2 linked regions of the Anolis sagrei genome follow. The protein of the gene in region 1 interacts with the protein of each later gene in a biochemical or structural test. Links are inferred from orthologs where the notes say so. Each region holds a gene or a part of one and is shown in the gene's direction. Other genes may lie near its edges. The genes, in order: NFE2L2 and ENC1.

Evidence for each region.
Region 2: the proteins of NFE2L2 (region 1) and ENC1 form a complex in vitro, tested with the Homo sapiens proteins (2 studies listed by BioGRID). The link is inferred for Anolis sagrei from reciprocal best matches to the Homo sapiens genes NFE2L2 and ENC1.

What each region holds. Positions count from the first base shown.
Region 1 is NC_090021.1:190,492,235-190,496,149, forward strand, and holds the start of NFE2L2 (nuclear factor erythroid 2-related factor 2), read left to right. Parts: upstream 1-1,280; 5' UTR 1,281-1,561; coding exon 1,562-1,582; intron 1,583-3,915.
Region 2 is NC_090022.1:263,513,497-263,517,411, reverse strand, and holds the start of ENC1 (ectoderm-neural cortex protein 1), read left to right. Parts: upstream 1-1,260; 5' UTR 1,261-1,524; intron 1,525-3,915. UniProt on the Homo sapiens protein: Actin-binding protein involved in the regulation of neuronal process formation and in differentiation of neural crest cells.

The sequences.
Region 1 (3,915 bases):
TGCACGGTGCGCCATTTACCTTCCCGACGGAGCGTTATCTATTGATCTACCCACGTTTGCATGTTTTCGAACTGCTAGGTTGGCAGAAGCTGGGGCTGACAGCAGAAGCTGATGCCACTCCCCAGATTCGAACCTGCGACCTTTTGGTCAACAAGCTCAGCAGCTCAGTGCCTTAACCCACTATGCCACCGGGTAATATATTATTAGCATAGTACAATATCAATATTAAATATTATTATAGTGTACTATTCCATTATATTGTGATATTACTAGTAATATTACATGTAATATAAACATATAATTATGTTTATTAGTATTATATTTCATTACATAATATTATATGTATATACAATATATTATATTATTAGCCTAGCACAGGAGACAAGGTGGAACTGTCTTCTGCTCCCCTCTCTCTTCACTCTGGCCCAGAGCAGCAGTTATTTCTTGGGGGGGGGGGGGGGGGGGGAGGGGTCCCCAACTGATGACATATTTATTTATCTACTATATTTGTATACTGCTTTTCTCAGCCCTCGGGCGACTCAAAGTGGTTAACAATAGCAAAATTCAATGCTCAGAACACCATAAAACAGTTAAAAACAATTAAAACAGTAGCATATTAAACACAATCATGCAGGAGACAAGGTGGAACTGTCCCCTGGCCACCTCTCTCTTCACTCGGGCCCAGAGCGTCTACACCAGGCCTGGGCAAGCTTGGGCCCTCCAGGTGTTTTGGACTTCAACTCCCACAATTCCACCAGCTATTAGGAATTGTGAGAGTTGGAAGTCCAAAACACCTGGAGGGCCCAACTTTGCCCAGGCCTGGTCTACACTGTGAGGTTAATTCAATTTGACCCCACTTTAACTGCCGCGGCTGTTAGGAATTGTGGGAGTTGAAGTCCAAAACACCTGGAGGGCCCAAGCCTGGCCTACACGGTGAAGTTCATGGAGTTTGACTTCACTTTAACTGCTGCTGCTGTTAGGAATTGTAGGAGTTGAAGTCCAAAACACCTGGAGGGCCCAAGTTTGCCCAGGCCTGGTCTACACTGTGAGGTTAATTTAGTTTGACCCCACTTTAACCGCCATGGCTCAATGCTATGGGATGTTGGCCCTTTTGCAAGGGTTTGAGCCTTCTCTGCTCCCTGAACTGCGACTCCGAGGATTCCACAGCACTGAGGCAGTTAAAGCGGTGCCAAAGTGGGTTTATCCTCCAGTGTGGACCAACCGCGAGGGCCTCCCGGCTCGGCCCCTCCTTCTCCGGGGGGAGGGAGGGAGGGAGAAAGGGAGAGAAGGCGGGGCAGGCGGCTGGTGGTTTCCCGGCAGGGAGGACGGACGGAGGGCGAGCAGAGCGGGACAGGGACAGCGGAGGAGAAGCAGGAGGAGGAGAAGGCTGTGTCGGCGTCACCGCCGGAGAGAGGCAGCTAAAGCGTCCCGTCCAGAAAAGGAAGAGCCTCAGTCCGCTTGATTCGTTAGGCGGCGAAGCCTCTCTCTCACTCTCCCTTTCTCCCCCCCCCCCCCCCGCACCCGGCGTGGAACCCGTTGCGTCATCGCCAGTGACGTCACCATGGAGGTCGAGATGCCGCAGGTGAGGCTCACTTTAGGGGTACTTGGATCCCCTTCCCCAGGAGGGGCGGGGCAGAGAGAGACCTCCGTGCGGGAGGAAAGGGGGCGGGGTTAAGGATAGGCCACGCCCCCTCGATTGCTGCGATCGCCACAGCGGTCCAAGCCGGTGTTATTTTTTTTCCTTTTTCTAAGCCACGCCCCTCTAGGCCGTGACGTCACAGCCAGGCTCGAATGCGCTGACTCACTGGCTCTTCGGTCGGCCTTGACAAGAGGAAGGGGCCCTGTTTTGGTTTGGAAACGAGGGAGTTGTAGTTTGGAGAAGTACCAGCACTCTTGGGCAGAGAAGGGCAAAGAAAAGCCAGAAGTCCTATAACTATGTAGAATGGATCAATAAGAGTTAAAGTGGTGTCAAAAGTGCATTCATTCTACAGTGTAGATCAGGCCTGAGCAAACTCTGGCCTTCCAGGTGTTTTGGACTTCAACTCCCACAATTCCTAGCAGTCCAAAACACCTGGAAGACCAGAGTTTGCCCTAGCTGCTGGGAATTGTGGGAGTTGAAGTTCAAAACACCTGGAAGGCCAGAGTTTGTCCAGGCCTGGTGGAGATGCGCCCTGGATCTGTTTTTCTTGTTGCTTCACCACTTTGTTTTCCCACATCTGGATCTATTATATACATATAATAATAATAATAATAATAATAATAATAATAATAATATGGAGCCCCCGGTGGCACAGTGGGTTAAACCCCTGTGCTGGCAGGACTGAAGACTGACAGGTCACATGTTCGAATCTGAGGAGAGGCCGATGAGCTCCCTCTATCAGCTCCAGCTCCTCATGCCGGGACATGAGAGAAGCCTCCCACAAGGATGATAAAAACATCAAATCATCCCCTGGGCAACGTCCTTGCAGACGGCCAATTCTCTCACACCAGAAGCAACTTGCAGTTTCTCAAGTCGCTCCTGACACAACAGCAATAATAATAATAATAATAATAATAATAATAATAGTAATAAACTTTATTTATACCCCCCAACCATCTCCTCAAAGGGGACTCGGGGTGGCTAACATGAGGCCAAGCCCAAAAATACAATACAGCAAAAAGTAAAATACAGACTGCAGACAATCAAAATTGCATCAGAATAAAATATGTATAGTAGCAAAAATAACATAAATAAAGCAAATTAGCACAGTATAAAATTGAAACAAAATGGACAGGCCAAATGAACGAGATAAAATGATAAAACCCTGGATGGGGTAGGAATAAAATATGTGATTGAGGGAAACCCAAAAGGATAATAAATAAATGCACAAAAAGATTGCAAAATGTGCAGTCTAGTAAGATATTTAGACTGTTACTGAAAGGAGGCAGACTTTCCATGGAGCTGCTGCTACTTTTTCAATACGTTCATAAAGCAGCAAATTCTTTACCTTTGTGCTTAGAAGGAATTATCACTTTTAGGTAACAGGGCTGTGCCCTTCATTTGCTTTCCGGTAATAATATGGGGCTGTGATGATGCAATGAGTTAAAGTGCTAAGCTGCTGAACTTACTGATTGGAAGGTCAGCGGTTCGAATCCGCAGGACGGGGTGAGCTCTGTTAGCCCCAGCTTCCAACCTAGCAGTTCGGAAAAACATGCAAATGTGAGTAGATCACTAGGTACCATGTCAGCGGGAAGGTAATGGTGCTCCATGCAGTCATGCTGGCCACATGACCTTGGAGGTGTCTAAGGACAGCATCAGCTCTTCGGCTTAGAAATGGAGATGAGCACCAACCCCCCAGACTTAATGTCAAGGGGAAACCTTTACTTTTACTAATATTACTAAAAATAAGAAAGCATAGGCACTTTGGTGGCACATGAATCCACTTAAAATCCAGTTTCTGCCTCCTGCAGAATGCTGGGGTTTGTAGTTTAGGGAGGATCCTTTAACAGCCTCACTAAACTACAAACCCCAGCATTCTGCAGGAGGCAGATACCGGATTTTAAGTGGATTCATTCTCAAGTGTGATGAAGAGTAGAGGGTGCATCCACATTGTAGAATTAATACTATATGACAGCACTTTAACTGCCATTGCTCCAGACTATGGAATCACGATAGTTGCAGTTTGACAAGGTCTTTAGCCTTCTCTGCCAACAGGAAATAGCCTCTCATATTTAGAACAATAATGTACATAATGGCTTTCATCTGATGTCAGTAGTCTACAGAGCCATGTGGAATATTTGCGGGTCTCTCACCAAACTACAGCTCCCAGGATACCATAGCATTGAGAGCCATGGCAGTTAAAGGATCAAACTGCATTAGTGCTACACTTTGCTATCATCACAGGGCCCTTCCACACAGCCATATAACCCAGAATA
Region 2 (3,915 bases), on another chromosome or scaffold:
TCTCTCCAAGGGGACTCAGGGCAGATTCCAGCATATACACACACAAGGAAAACATTCAATGCCTTGAAACAATGACACAAAGATACACTGATAAAGGTAAAGGCTTCCCCTTCATCTCCATATAACCAAGAAAATCAAAACAGGAAACCCCACAATATCTGCTTTGAACTGGGTTATCTGAGTCCACACTGCCATATATTCCAATTCAAAGCAGATCATAGAAACATAGAGTTGGAAGAGACGTCATGGGCCATCCAGTCCAACCTCCTGCCAAGAAGCAGGAAGATCGCATTCAAAGCACCCCTGACAGATAGCCATCCAGCCTCTGTTTAAAGGTCTCCATAGAAGGAGCCTCCACCACACTTTGGGGCAGAGAGTTCCACTACTGAACAGCTCTCACAGTGGGGAGGTTCTTCCTAATGTTCAGATGGAATCTCCTTTCTTGTAGTTTGAAGCCATTGCTCTGCGTCCTAGTCTCCAGGGCAGCAGAAAACAAGCTTGCTCCCTCCTCCCTGGGACTTCCCCTCACATATTTATACATGGCTATTATATCTCCTCTCAGCCTTCTCTTCTTCAGGCTAAACATGCCCAGCTCTTTAAGCCGCTCTTCATAGGGCTTGTTCTCCAGTTCCTTGATCATTTTAGTCGCCCTCCTCTGGACATATTCCAGCCTGTCAATATCTCTCTTGAATTGTGGTGCCCAGAATTGGACACAATATTCCAGGTGTGGTCTGACCAAGGCAGAATAGTGGGATTTCCTGCCTTGATATTCTGGGTTACATGGCTGTGTGGCAGGACTCCGAGGGCCCTTCCACAAAGTCCTATATTCCAGAATATTAAGGCAGAAAATCCCACAATATCTGCTTTGAACTCGGTTATCTGGGTCCACACTCAGATGTGGAACTTTCTGCCTTGATATTCTGGGATATAGGGCCGTGTGGAAGGGCCCTAGGCGAGAAAGAGACCTTTGTGGAGCAGAGCCTAGTCTTCAAGACCGCAGAGCCTGAATCCGTTGGTGGTGGCTGGCCACAGGCTTGCCTTGGAGGTTTGGGGCTGCTGCAAAAGGAGTTTCAGGACTAGTGATTTCCTTTTCTCTCGAGTACCAGAAAGTCCCTTCTCCCTTTCTGCCGAGGAGACCTTCCCCGTCAGTATAACCACCCCCCCATGCTTTTGCGCCCTTCCTTGCTCAGAGGAGGCGGGGCGGGGGGCGAGGCCAGAGGCAAGGCCGCCCATCTCTCTCTCTCTCTTTCTCCTCCTCCTCTTGCAGCCGCAGTTCATACAAACGCGGCGAGGAAGGCAGGCGGGCAGTCAGTCAGTCACTCGCCGGGGCCACGACGGCGTGGCTCCTCTCTTTATCCCTCTCTTCTCCGGCTCAGTCTGGAGGGCGCCCAGGGAAGGAGAGGCGGGCCTTCTAGCCCCGCCACCGCTGCGGGGAAGCACCCACCACCCCAGGCTCCCCATGCCGTGAGCGGACCCACTCCCGGGAACTAGGACGCGCGAGTCCTCCGAACACATCCTCCGGCTGTAAGTTGCCCCGACCTGTTGCCTCCCGGGGAGGGTTTGCTCAGCCCCACCGAAGGAGGGAGGGAGGGTAGATAGATAGTGGCAGAGTGGGTAGAGAGTGGGGAGAGGTGGATGAGTAGATAGTGGGGCGCGGTTGGAAGCGATCCCCTCCCCAGTTCCCTTCCACACAGCCCTATATCACAGAATATCAAGGCAGGAAATCCCACATTATCTGAATATTCACTCAGATAACCCAGTTCAAAGCGGATATTGTGGGATTTTCTGCCCTGATATTCTGGGATATAGGGCTGTGTGGAAGGGCTCTCAGATAACTCTGTTCATATCAGATATTGGGCCCTTCCATACAGCCCTATATCCCAGAATATCAAGGCAGAAAATCCCACAATATTGAACTGGCTTATCTGAGTCCATACTCGGATATTGTGGGATTTTCTGCCTTGATATTCTGGGATATAGGGCTGTGTGGAAGAGTCCCCAGTTGTCAGTCCTCTTGAGGAGCATATGCACTGCAGAATTAATCCGCTTTGACCCCACTTGAATTGCCATGGCTCAATTTTACTGGATTGTAGTTTTAAGTGTGCAGAATGAATGCAGTTTGCCACCACTTTGCTTGACTCAATGCTGCAGAACAGGCATGGGCAAATTTGGGCTCTTCAGGTGTTTTGGACTGCAACTCCCACCATTCCTAACAGCCTCAGCCCCCCTTTCCCCTCTCAGCCGCTTAAGCCTTGCAGCTTCAAAGCCCGGCTGCTTCCTGCCTGGAGGAATCTTTTATTGGGAGTTGTTAGCTGGCTCTGATTGTTTCCAACAGACTTCACAGCCTGAGGATGCCTCTTAAGCGGCTGAAGGGGAAAAGGAAGGGGCCTGAGGCTGTTAGGAATGGTGGGAGTTGCAGTCCAAAACATCTGGAGGATCCAACTTTGCCCATGCCTAGTATAGGTGCGCTTTAACTCAAAGACATTCAAAGCTCGCTCTCTCTCTCCCCCCCCCCCCCCCCCTCCGACTCGATCTGGTTTCATTCCGAAATGGTCCCGCGTGCGTGGGAAAGGGCCTGGGGAAGAATACTGCCGAGGGTTTCCCCCGAAGGAGGCAGCGATGGTCTGTCTTTGCAGCCCAAGGAAGTGAACTGCTGCGCCTCCAGCCGGGCTCATGGCTTTGCACAGGAAGAAGGCGGGCCGGAGGGTGTGCTTCTTTCTCCCTTTCTCTCGCTTCCTTCCTTCCTCAATCCCTCCCTCTTTCTCTCTCTCCCTCCCTTCTTGGGGATGCCTCGGAGTTTCTCCTTTTCCTTTCACAGCCAAGGGGGAGGGAACCGTTGGCGGTCTTTTGTGGAGGGAGACCCGCGTGGCTCGCTGGGCTTCGTCTGGGCAGCTGCAAAAAGGAAGCGCCAAAGCCGCCGGGTTTAAAAATGAAGGCGCCTATTCTCATGGGCAAGCCCTGCCAAACACCAAAACTGTGATCAACTGGGATGGGTGTGTGTTTGACAAACCAGCTTGCTCTTTCTTCTCTCTCATTCCTCCTAAATGATTTGATTGTGTCCCTTAAAACTCCCTTTCCACTCAGCCCTATATCCCAGCATATCAAGGTAGGAAATCCCACATTATCTGTGTGTGGACTCAGAAGTGGACCCACTTTAAAGCAGATAATGTGGGATTTTCTGCCTTGATATTCTGGGATATAGGGCTGAATGCAAGGGTCCAGAGTGGGATGTGGGGTGTTGTGAGTTTTCCAAGCTGGATGGCCATCTTCCAGAAGTATTCTCTCCTGACCTTTTGCCCACATCTATGGCAGGCATCCTCAGAGGTTGTGAGGTCTGTTGGAAACTAGGAAAATGGGGTTTATATATCTGTGGAATGTCCAGGGTGGGAGAAAGTACTCTTGTCTGTTGGAGGTAGGTGTGAATGTTTCAATTGGCCACCTTGATTAGCATTTAATGGCCTTGCAGTTTCTAGGTCTGGCTTCTTAGGGCCCATCCATACAGCCCTATATCCCAGAATATCTAGGTAGAAAATCCCATAATATCTGCTTTGAACTGGGTTAACTGAGTCCACACTCAGATAATGTGGGATTCTCTGCCTTGATATTCTGGGATATAGGGCTGTGTGGAAGGGCCCTTACAGTGGGATGTGTCAGTGTATTGTTGAAGGTTTCCATGGCCAGAATCATTGGGTTGCTGTGAGTTTTTTGGGCTGTATTGTTGTTGTATTGGATCACACATTGTACACTTCCCAATAATAATTTGGAAGTGTCAAACGTGTGATCCAATACAACAGTCAACATAGGGACCTTGTTTGCTGTGTACTAATCTTGTATTTATAATAATAATAATAATAATCTTGTATTTATAATAATAATAATAATGGGTTGCTGTCAGTTTTCCAAGCTGTATGGCCA